Saccharomyces cerevisiae S288C: one gene and its partners. The gene in region 1 interacts genetically with each later gene. Each region holds a gene or a part of one and is shown on either strand. Other genes may lie near its edges.

The links.
Region 2: mutations in ZRT2 (region 1) and DIT2 together harm fitness more than expected from each alone (negative genetic interaction), as found in Saccharomyces cerevisiae (2 studies listed by BioGRID).
Region 3: mutations in ZRT2 (region 1) and SOK2 together harm fitness more than expected from each alone (negative genetic interaction), as found in Saccharomyces cerevisiae (2 studies listed by BioGRID).

What each region holds. Positions count from the first base shown.
Region 1 is NC_001144.5:402,194-405,671, forward strand, and holds ZRT2 (low-affinity Zn(2+) transporter ZRT2), read right to left. Parts: upstream 1,870-3,478; coding exon 601-1,869; downstream 1-600. Other genes in the region: snoRNA-binding rRNA-processing protein DIP2, read left to right, coding at 1-295; DNA-binding transcription factor ACE2, read right to left, coding at 2,317-3,478. UniProt on the Saccharomyces cerevisiae protein: Low-affinity zinc transport protein. Active in zinc-replete cells and is time-, temperature- and concentration-dependent and prefers zinc over other metals as its substrate.
Region 2 is NC_001136.10:1,271,728-1,275,777, forward strand, and holds DIT2 (putative cytochrome P450), read right to left. Parts: upstream 1,977-4,050; coding exon 507-1,976; downstream 1-506. Other genes in the region: URH1 (trifunctional uridine nucleosidase/nicotinamide riboside hydrolase/nicotinic acid riboside hydrolase), read left to right, coding at 1-358; DIT1 (Dit1p), read left to right, coding at 2,875-4,050. UniProt on the Saccharomyces cerevisiae protein: Involved in spore wall maturation. Thought to catalyze the oxidation of tyrosine residues in the formation of LL-dityrosine a precursor of the spore wall.
Region 3 is NC_001145.3:302,648-307,455, forward strand, and holds SOK2 (Sok2p), read right to left. Parts: upstream 2,947-4,808; coding exon 589-2,946; downstream 1-588. UniProt on the Saccharomyces cerevisiae protein: Plays a general regulatory role in the cyclic AMP-dependent protein kinase-stimulated (PKA) signal transduction pathway by regulating the expression of genes important in growth and development. May inhibit the switch from unicellular to filamentous growth.

The DNA of each region.
Region 1 (3,478 bases):
GCACTCTCACTTACCATTAATTTGCAAGAATTTATTTTTCATTATCAAATTTAATCATAAAGAATTGGTTTCTCAGAAAAATGAAGAATTGAAATTGCAAATAAATAGAGTAAAGACTGAATTAAGAAGTGCATTAAAATCTACCGAGGATGATCTAGGCTTTAATGTTCAAGGGTTGAAATTCGTCAAGCAACAATGGAATCTAAGGCATAACTACGAATTCGTTGACGAATATGACCAACAGGAGAAAGAGAGTAATAGTGCAAGGAAGAGAGTTTTCGGGACCGTTATATAATAAAACTATTATCCTACATAATACCGGCATTACTCTGCCCTTTTCACACTTCAAAAGGATAGATTAAATTATCTGTATATTATACAATTCCAATCATAAAAATTGTCATTCCGATTGCCCTTCGGTAATAATGGGCATATCCAAATAACGGAATATGTGTTTTTTATACTTATTGGTCGCTGACATATGCTGTTTTTTGCGAGATGTCTCTCGTCTCTGCAGAGCAGTTGTAAAATTATAGGTCATGCATTTTTTTTTTTTTGATAATGAATAACTATCTAATCTAACAAAATATACGTGAGATACTATGCCCATTTCCCTAGAAGAGCCATTAAAGCAGCTCCACAACACATGATGAGATATGCACTAAGCATTTTTTTGAGGCCATCAGGTCCTTTGAATTGATTAGAGTATAAGAATTCATGAGCCATTAATTCGACTAGTCCAGTATAAATAAGAATTCCTGATGATATCGAGTCAAAAACACCATTAGCAATTAATGCTCTTCTAGAGCCAGGTATCCAAGAGTGTCTGACACCAATACCTACCGCGACTGCTATGGGTGACGTTAAAGTGAAGGCTAATCCCATTAACCAAGGCATGTACTTCTTACTTTCTGGCCAATTCGTTTCGGCAACTCTTGTGCCTAGACCCAAACCTTCGAACATTTGGTGGAAAGTTAAAACGATAAATAAGGTTTCGAATTCTTCACCCGCGACAGATAGCGAAAGACCCACAAATACAGAGTGAAAGATGATGCCAAATTCTAGAATAAAAACAGCTAGTATCTGATTGAGATACTGCTCTTTATCTTCCTCCTCGATACGTGTGGCCAACTGGGAGACATCTTGATGGTCATTTTCGTGAGAATAATGATCTTTTCCAGGTACAGAAGCGAGATTTGTCGCATGGGAACTGGTTGGAACTAGTTCATTAGCTAGTGACTCTGTTTTTCCCGGTTCCAGATCATAATTAGTAACATTTGAGCCGGGTTCTTTTTCCTTTATAGGAGTAGCGACAATCTCTTCATTTCTAGTAGTGTACGGAGTTTTGTCATTATGGATGGAGTAGGCAGCTTCGTTATTGAAAGATACAGGATCCGAGTCCATATTTCTGATGACAAATCCCGAACTGGGAGCATCAACATCAATACTGGTAACTTCCCCATGGTCCCCATGATCGTGTCCCAGCGTTTTCGCTACAAAATAATGCGTGATGATTTCAGTGAAGAAAAGTAAGAAAAGCGACATTAAACAGATCCCAAAAGCCCATGGATATTCGGCAAATGTGCCACCAAGACATTCATCTCCCAGAGCTTCGGCTGCGGGCTGTAGAAGATGAACGAACGCTGTGGCAACAATGACACCAGAACCGAAGAACTTCGCTATGAAAAAGCACCAATTTGGTAGCCTTATAAACGAATACCGTGATGACAAAATTGGGAAATAAACTCCCAATCCTGACGATATCAGTATAATGAATACTGCCAGAATTCTAAGACCTGCGTGCCCATTGTAGCCGTTAGAAGCTTGGCAAGTATCTACGGAGTCATCCCTCGCTATAAGATCAACCATACTTTCGAATATGCAGTGTCACTTGGAAACGCCTGCAATGTTTTCTTTGGTTGATGCACCGTTGTATTTTCGGAGATCAACTTTAGCTTTCTTCCGGTCTAACCAACAGGGTGTATGATTCAATAAACAGTATCATCATATATAGTGGGTTTTAGATCGTGTCTCCCAAAAGGTTGCGTCATTTAAAATCGTCACACTGTGTTTTACCAAAGGATGTGTGAAGCTGGTTTGTAGTAGTTAAAGGGCAATGTACCCTAAAGGTTGTGAAAAATTTTCATTTTCGAGAAGGAGTCGCATATAACCTTTAGGGTTATGTCCCTATAAACGATGACTATTGCCTTTTTTGGCCCTTAAGACTACAGTGTACGTAAATCGTAAAGAAATAAATGTATTATATTATTGTTACTATTATTTATTATGTTAATATCATGCATAGATAAATGTTCGTCAGAGAGCATCAGTTTCGTTTGAAAGGGTGCGGTTCGAGTTTTGCTCGTGCGCTGCTGTGGATGGGGGTGGATCCAGTAATCCATGTTTGCGCATATCATCTCGCAGCTGTTCCTCCATTTTCATTAGGACGCTCCCATCTTTATCCCGGGCGATAGTTTCTTTTACGGGACTTGTGTCATGCGGGCTGTCAAGCAGGCTTTTTTTGGGAGATGTAAGTTTCTTGTTGATCGAATGTTCTAATTTCTTACCGCCGGTGCAAATCATCCGACTTCTATGCACCATTAGAGCATCCTCCCTATTAAATCTCTTTCCGCATGGGCAGATGTATTTCTTGGCATTATGGGAGATTTTGTGTCTTATTAAATCATGATTGCGAACAAACGCCTTGGTGCAACCGGGAAAGTCGCATGAATACGGTCTATCTTGCAAATGTGTCTGAATATGCGACCTTATGTTGTATCTACGCTTGAATACTTTGTTACAGTTAGGGTATAAGCACTCGAATAGTTTGTCGGGTAGTTCCTTGACGTACTGGTCAATGGTACCCGGAGGCAGAGTAGTTGGTTTCTTGGTTATTTTCATTGGCGTAGTCCTAGGTATTATTTCATCTGGTAAAGGAGACGTACTATGCAAAGTGGGGCTTTTGTGAATATCATGTGTGACAGGTGGTACTTGCGGATAGCTTTCCACTTCACAGTGACTGTTATTTCGTATGGGTGTCTTAATTTCTAACTGATGATCTGTTAAATCCGGTGCATTTAGAAGCGGAGCTAGGTTACTTCCGTTCTTTGGTGGAGCTTTGACGGGAGTATGTTGAAATACATGTTTTTGTGGCAAAGAATTCTTAATTGGAGTGTTATTGCTGGAACCAGGAATAGGAGGTAGTACACTTGATGACGCTAAAGCGTTTGCATTTCTTAATGTTGGGTTCTGGGTATTTCGCATGTGGATGGGTTCAGTGTCATCCTGCAGTTGTGATATTGTCGAGACCGTGGAAACTACGGATTCCCTTTTCTTGTGGATAGGTGACAACTGTGTTCTAGGCGTGAACGTGCCAGCAGCATATCGATCATCCCTGCTTTTATCTGTGCCGACGAGGAAGGGCGATCTCAAACTATTTCCATTTATCCTTGGAGAGATACTTAGCCCACCCGGGGAA
Region 2 (4,050 bases), on another chromosome or scaffold:
TAACAGCAAGTTACGAGAATTGTTTTTGGAGCTTTTTCAATTTTTTGCTCATACCTACAAGGATATGCAAGGATTTGAATCGGGCCCACCTATACATGATCCGGTAGCTTTGATGCCGCTTTTGGAATTTTATGGGTGGGATCCATCGTCTGCGGTTGGATTTCGCTACAAGAGAATGGACATATCCTGCATTGATGATGTTTTCAACGAAAACTCAGGGAAAATTATCATTGAAAAAGAATATCCAAATGACAGTGATGTTGGTACAATAATTGGTCTCGATTTGAATATCCAGTACTTTTGGGATCAGATTTTTGAAGCATTAAATAGAGCAGACAAAATGTCAACGATTGGATAAGAACTTCTATAAAAGGCTTTTTTTTTTTCTACTGACCTTTGGTCAGGTTCTGTTCCTTTCATTTTCACTGGATACAAAGAAGTTTCACTAAAAGTTGTCGCGATTGTATACATATATGCGTATATATACAATTCTACATGTTTTATATTTATTCCATTATATTCTCGTTAAATTTTAACTTTAAATTAAGAGGGCAAAGAGGCCCAGCGGGAGTTAATTTTTCTTCCCATTCAGGGTCAAGACTCCATCGAAACTGTTTCAACATTTCAGCCAAAGAAATTCTCATTTCTGTTAGGGCTAGTTTTTCCCCTAGGCATGCTCTTCGGCCTCCATGGAACCCAGTCACAGCACATCTGTTTTTCGCCATTCTCCAGTTTTTCCTTATGGTTTCGATATCTGAACCCCATCTTTCTGGTTTAAAATCATCTGCTGTTGTGCCCCAAGTTTTGGGATCGTGTGAGGTTCCAAAGTTGTTGTACCCGACATATACGCCCTTGGGTATAACAATTTCCGCCCCCAACTTGCACGTTTTGGTAGTACATCTATTAATAATTGTGCTCAAAGGAGGATACATTCTTACTACTTCGAAGAGAAAAGCATTTAATAAGGGTAAATCTGCTAAGCCTTTTGGATCAGTGATGCCGTTTACTTCCTTCCTGAGTTTCTCTTGCCATTCATTTGAATATTTGGCTAGAAGGTAGAGTGAACTATTAAATAGCAACTGCGGGTTTTCATGGCCAGCGACAAGGATAATGACGATATTATCGGTCAACTGTTTGTAGTCGATTATTTCGTTATTGTGAGCACGAATTAGATCACTGGCAGCAAAAGTAGTTTGTTCAAATTTGTAATTATTGACTAATTCATCTTGAACTCTTTTAACGAGAAGTTCTCTAAAACTAACAACATCCTTGAAGGCTTTTTTTCTTGAAGGAATAGGAAGAACATCAAGGAATGGAAAAGTTAAAAAGAATGGATGAAATATTTGCTTTTTAATACGAATCAAATGCTCGTGGAAAGCATTTTTTTCATGTGTTAGAGCACCAAAATCAAATCCAAGGGCAACCTGTGAAATGTTATCCAATGCCATTCTCTGGGATAAAGGTCCCATAGGGATCGAAGTTTGTCCTTCTAGGAGTCTGTTTTTTATCAAAGTGCATAAAATTTTTGCATTTTTGAATATAGGTGCATCGTCAAAATGTTGGAGCCCGTTTGTCACAGCATTTCTGTAGTTTCTCCAAACTGCACCATACGCGCTAATGACATTGTCCCCTGTGTAAGCGGCAAGAGCACTGTATGGGATTTTCTTTTGATTACCGCTCTTCGCAAAAGTATCTTCATCTTTGAATATTTGTGCTAGATACTCAGAACGAGAAACGAGAATATTCCACCGTGAACCAAAGAAAAATTTTACAGCACCGTATTTTTCCATTGATTCCCTAATATAAAGATCGTATAGCTCCGTTTGATCAATGGGAAATATTACTGGTAAAAATACTACATAAAATGGGATGGTGGGTATATTTTTGGGAAAGTTTAGAGGTGGGACAATGATTGCAAAGGCGACATAGGAAAGAGTAAGAAATAAAATCAAACACAGAAGCTTTAACAACTCCATTTTTAATGCTTTTTTCGATTTATTCTCTTAGTCTGAATCAAATACCATTTTGAAAAAACGAAAATATTTCAAGAAAATTAATGTATTTTTTTGCACTACCTAATATACTATTCGCATCAGGATGACCAGTCATTCCTCTTGTGGTCCGTGGCTTGTAATTTTCGGGAAAGATAGAAATCACTGCATTCATCGAAAGAAGTGAAAATAAATTGTATCGGGGAAGTAATGAGGGGTGGAATACGTAATTGCTTCTCAATTTGATAATACAAGTTACAGTCTTTTTATTGAGAGTCCCTGGAAGGAAAATTATTGATGTTTACCTTTTTTTGCGACGCGCGTCTGGCCATAAATAAAAGGGTTCTCTTGCCAAGAAAAAATAAAAAGGCGCCTTAAGGGACCTTCTATGACAAATATGGTGAGGTATGCAACCTCAATGAAGAGCAATGAGAAAATTTAAGGGGTAAGTAAGCATCGGAATTTGTTGTTTCCTAACAATTTGTCTAATTTACTCAATAATATCAGGAGAATTGATCGAAAAAAGCAAACCAGGAACCCCTCACAAATAAGGGAACATAAAGTAATTGCTCGTCTTTACATACATGGCACTCAATCCCAGACGTCGCGTGCTAAAAATCCTTATATTATTGGCCCCTCAGGAGTTTATTTGAATTTTGATTGCATTGCTTTCAGTGGACAGTATATCATAAAATTTGCAAGGGCATAGTGCCTGCCCTACGATGTTGTAAAACAATTTCTGAAAATAGGTTCAGAATCAAAAATGATGTATAAATATTGAAATAAATTTTCACATAAATTGTGCTCCTCCGCAAAGTCTTGACTAAATAAACAATTTGTTAATATCCTAATTCGGTAAAGCTTTGTCGAGACATTAACAAAAATGACATTTACTAGCAACTTGCCCTCAAGCTCCGAGCAGTCAATATCACCACCTGCCTCTTCATTTTCTTCATCGACTGATACGTTGAAAGATATTGATATTCCCCATAATGGGGCCGATTTGTCTACATATAGTAAATTTCTGGCCCTGTATTGCAGAAGCGACAAATGTGACGATTTTTACTCTTTAGAGGAAAAACAGAATTGTAAATTTGGAGACCAATGGCTCGACTTTATCAACACTATTCACAATCTGGACTTTTCTGAATCCGAAGTAAGTGGACGGGTTTCTGAAAGAATTTTGCCAGCTTCTTTAGCAAATAAATTTACCAATAATTTAGGAGTGGCAATAAAGATTTCTGAATATACACGCGATGACGAACGCCAGATTCGTGGGTGTGTTACAACAGTTGAGAATGAAAATTCTTTCAATAACTGGTTCGTATATCATATTTTAGACCAATCTCAATTATCTCTAAGTGAACATCCAATTGTAACCAAAGAAGTTAAGTATCACGAATTATTTGCAGATTTTTTTGAGAAAAATTTGAAAAACACAATAGTTAATGATCAATGGAATTTTGGTGGCCGTGATTATTTTATTGAACGTTCAAGATATTTTACCGATCGATATTTGAGAATTGAATGCATCTTGCCAGCGTTTCCATGTAAGTCATCTAATGAGCAAAAAGTGTACGGTTCCGTTCCTGACAAAGGCGAAGAACTCGCTTTGAAAAGATTAATAAAAGCCACACAAGACCTTGTCAAGATATATCCACCGGGTATGAAAATTTGGATAGTTAGTGATGGCCATGTTTTCTCCGATTGTATTGGGGTCGATGATGACGTCGTGAGTACTTACACGACCAAATTGCACGAACTGTATAAAAGAGTGGCTATACCTGGTGTTGACGCCATTGGCTTTTGTGGATTGAACGATTTATTTTTTAGCGGTGCAGCTAGTAAAGTTTTCGATCCAAAGTGGGTTAGTGATGTTGAAGTTGCACACTACACAGGAACTCAAATCTGTCCTAAGTCCGATTTGTCGAGACAGATTTTGATGAAAGGCTGTGATACAGATGCAGGTCGTTTGAGAAAGCAGATTGCAATAGAAGGACATCCAAGATTGCATCTGTATAGGGGCTTTTCACGTTTTATGATGGAAGATTTATCTCTA
Region 3 (4,808 bases), on another chromosome or scaffold:
ATTCCCTGCTTGCGTATATAAACCAATCAGTCCCTTTGCCTGAAGACAATAAGGACGATCTTTTACAACCGATTCGATAAAAAATCTTTTCAAAACCGAAACATGAGCTCTCTTCAATAGCGATATAAACACCGGCAGCATATAGACGCAGGTTTGGGCTATGTTTTGTCAGCAGCGATAAAAGGTACGAGACTTCGCAGACTTAAACGAGGGAAACCTTCTCGAGAACTATGGTAACAAATATTACCCGCCCCGGAAATTGCGGAACAAATACACTGTCTCTTTACGAGTTTCTCGTTTAAAAAATCCAGGGGTGTGGGGTGTGGGCGCCCATATGCGCGAACGAGCAGCTGCTTGTGATGTTTTCCGGGGAACCTCCCACGTTCACAACCGCGCCGCGGAAATAACGAAGTTTTTACGTGTAAAGAGATTACGTCAAAGGAAAGAAGTGTTCAATGTGTCTATCTTATAGGCGTGATAGATGTCATTTATAACATGAGTCCACCTCATGCATAACGTATGTACATATATGTGGGCGGTAGGGTTTTGATTAAAGTAACATAATTATCCAAGGAATTCATAGTTGTTCTATTTTTCTTGTTTTTTTGTATCATCAGCAGCAATTTCTTCGTTGGAGACATCGCCAGCTCCATCAACTTGTGATTTGGATGACTCTGACTCCTTGACAGGTTCTGCTTCACTAGGTTCGTTCGGTTGTGTTGCTTCATCGCTTGTACTTGTTTTTATTTTGTCAGTATCCGTCGAAGTCAATGCGGAGATTGGTAATTGACTAGATCGTGGCTCCTTTAATGTTTGATTATCTGGTACAGTATTCCCACTGTCTGCTTCCTTAGACCATTTGGAATGTGATGCCGATTCAGATTCCACTCTTGGAAGGGTGATTCCTGTATGGATACTTCCCACATTTGATTCAGATGATTGATTTGTGTTTGTTGTAGTTGGAGAAGGTGTCAAAGGCTTTGAATCTGCAGGTGTAATGCCTAATGTACTTGCCGAATTCATTGTGGCGTTGCGTGGATACGATAAGGGTGAAGCTATGTTGCCCATCAGTTGTTGTTTCATCGGCATTGTTGCCGAAAGGGTCTGTAGGTTAGTTATAGTATGTCCTTCTAGTTGGTTAGAGTTAGGCATTGTGCATTTTTTCAAGGGCTTTTCACCCGCAGCGATTGTACTTACAGCTGGTATAGAATTATTGGGTATAATTTTGTTGTTCAAATTCATTGAGGAGTATGTCAGCTGAGCAGCAGATATATTTGAAGGACCATTAGGATTTTGATAGTTGTTAATAGGTTGATAATAGGTACGCGGACTGATGGATTTAATACCAGTGCTACTGCTACTACTACTGCTATCATTGCTTGGATTATTTTGTTTCAATACGCTCTGAATATCCCTGATGAACAAGGGATAAAGATAGTCAGCAATTTTTTCTCTTTGTGCTATTGCTAGGGCACGCTCAAACGGTATCCAGACACCCTTCAAATGCATGGAACCAATCTTCACCACATGCCTGATTTTTTCCGCTTTTAGAATACCATCTCTTCTACCTCTTGTCATCTTAGTTACATTCAGAAGTTTGGTACCATTAACCATATCATTATCTGCTCTTCTTACCACTGAAATACCGTTAGCTTCTACCTGATAACATAGCGTTTTTTCATCCTCCCACATTGTTGTTGTTACTCTTGGCCTTATTATACTTGCCGAAGTGCCGCTGGTGTTACTGCCTGTGGCATTGGTAGTGGCGATTAAGGGCATCGGGTGCCTTATGGTAGTTGTTTGGAAAGAATTCATGGTTTTAGCCATTGAGTCATACTGTTGATCTGACACTCCGTGCCTATTTGCAGTTAAATAAGTTTCTTGATCAGTAGAGGGTTTAACTGGTGGAGTTATAGAATTTCCATCATACAACGGGCTCACCTGTTGTTGTTGCTGAGGCGGTAGCAAACCCACTTGCGGAAGATTGTAGCTTAAAGGTCCATTTTGGCTGGTTGGACCTTGAGTTGGCGTTGTTAATGATCTTGGAGGAATTGGAGAATGCGAGTTTGGAATTGACGAAGTCTTGTGAAAACCGGGGTATTGGTAGGTGGAAGGTTGTGGATAGTTTGACATTGGAGGCTGCTGAGCTAAGGACGAGATACTATTACTATTGCGACTAGTGCGATTAGAATTGGGAGACATAGAGCCACTGGACGAATCAGAAGGTGGTCCAGATTTACTGAACTTTGAAAATGCATTACCTATCTTTGGTGGTTGGGCCGGATACGTTTGAGCTTGTAATTGTTGTTGCTGCTGGTGTTGTTGCTGTTGTTCAAAGGTTGAGTAGGTTTTTTCCAAATTGGGGTTTTGGACTTGATTACTGGTTACAGATGGTGTTGCACCGTTAGTGGTTCCATCGCCGTTTGCAGGATAATAATAATACGCTTGTGGATACGAATATGCCATTGATTGTTGGGCTTGCATTTGGGGAAAATAATAGTAGTATGGTACATTGTTACTGATATTAGTACTGTTATTGCTTTTTTTGGTGGTGATTGCAGAACCATTCGGTAACGCAGTTGCAGTAGCGTTGGAAGGAACACCTACAGACGTGGAAGGTGGATTGGAAGCATTTGAGTCAGAACCGCTACTCTGAAAGGATTCTTGAACTTGATACATCTGAGGCTGGGATTGCAGTTGCTGTTGAGACTGGGATTGCGGCTGCTGATAATATTGCGGGTACGGCCACTGTTCAGGAACTACGTATTGGTAGGATACGGGCATCAGAGGTTGAACGCTCTGGCCGAGATATTGTTGTTGTTGCTGCTGCTGTTGGGTGGACTGGCCAATAGTACTTTCGCTATTGCTCACGGCACTCATATTTGATTCCTGGCGCATGCGGTTGGACTTGATATCATTCGTATTGATTGGGTTACCGATGGGCATGACAAAAGGACCTTACCAGGGTTATATAAGGATGATTTTGTACTGTGCTTAACAAATCCACTTTCAATTTCTGAAAACAAAGATCAAAAAGGTTTTTTTTTTTTATACAATTGTGAAGTATGTTTAATGAAAACAGCACAAAATGATATCTCTCTGCTTGCAATATAAAAAGCTATGGAAAAGGATTATCAACTATACTAGAAGGCTTACACACGCACAGGCACACACAACTAATGCAAAAGATAGTGGGGAAAAACTTCAAAAACTAACAAAAAGAAGTGTTAAAGATGAACTTTTTTCTTTTGTATCGTCGGCTTGCCACATTCGATAAGTTAATAAAACACAAACGGGCAACACATCTACGTACTTTTTATGTGAAGACAAGAGAAAGAATACATCACTGATACGTGCGTCTATTGCGCAGCACTGTACTATTGCGAAGAACTGAGTGAAGGCAAAGAATGAGATGATCGATGCTTAGCCGACTGTTAAACTTACTGAGCGGTAGCCTCTACTAGTTCCTTAGTCAGATCGCACTCAACTTGGAATGTTCCGTCAGGCCCACGGAAGAAAAAGCAACAAAAGAAAGAAAAACCGGACAACATGCGGGAAAAATGCAAACTGTGTGAGGGAAAAATTAACTTTAAAGATTACATCAACGGCGGGAAAAGATCCTTCCGCAGTCCTTCTACTGCGGTTTCCCTGCAGGCACAGCTAACCGGAGGGAAGACAAGTCAAGCGGACATGCAGTTCCCGCTCAGGCTTCTTTGCAGAGAAATCGGAATATGAATTTTTTGTGTTTTTTGTTAACTTCTTTACCATTCGCATCACGGGAAGAGTGTGTTGGCATAAGAGGCGCAAGAAAAAGGTGACCCACGGTGGTGGGAAAGAGAAGAAAAAGCCGTTTGCGGAAAGCAATGTTTTGCCCATTCAGAAACAATATCTTTGCTGTATCCCTACATGTATTATGCCGCGTTGCTTGTGCAGGTACGGAGTCCCTGCACGATTTTTCAACAAGGTCTAGATTTGCTAAGACGATGAGGCGGAGCCCGAAACAAACAAGCCAAAAACCGGAATTTCGCGCTTGGTGTGCTTTCGCATCTTTTCGTGTGGTGAATGCACCTGGTGCACGCTGCGAAGGTGACGTAGCAATCCAAAAAAGGGAAGTCTAGGCGCTTTCAACCGCCCCCCACCGTGCATGCGGATTGGTTGTCACAATTCGCAGACATATTGGCAATGTTTCCTCCCCTCCTGTTGATGCGGGTAAGGGGTGTCTGTTATGCAGGAACAGGAAGGTAAAAATTAAATGGGCCTTAATTCTGTAGACACTCTCTTGGGGTAATAAGGTTAAAAGCCATTGTTGAAGTACGGAATCATCTCTTCATTTTTTCAGCGCTTGTAAGGAATTAATCCCCAGGAAGGTGCCGATGTAATGAGAGAAGTATTCTTGTTGTATCTCTTTGGTTCGGAGTATTTCCTTCTTTCTTTTCTTTGTAGTTTTTATGCAAATGCAGGGAACAGAGTACCCGGTTAAGGCTGTTAGTCAGCCGCACTCTACACAAAATTACTTGGCAAACACGTTGGTTGGGAAAAGCTTTATACTTGGCGGTGTAGTAATTGTAAAGGATCAAGATTGTGTCATGCTAATGTGCCGCTGTGTAACAACCTTTTTGAAGCGCGTATTTACCACCGGCAAAAGGCCATTGTGTCACATAAAAAAAAACTCCCGCCAAAGCCAGGTTCATTTTGCATAAGATTCACCACAGTACGGAAAATACGATAAGTTAACCAGTAATTTGCTCGCTTTAGCTACTGATAAACCTTCTCTGTTAACACTATTATTTTTTTATTACTTTAGATTT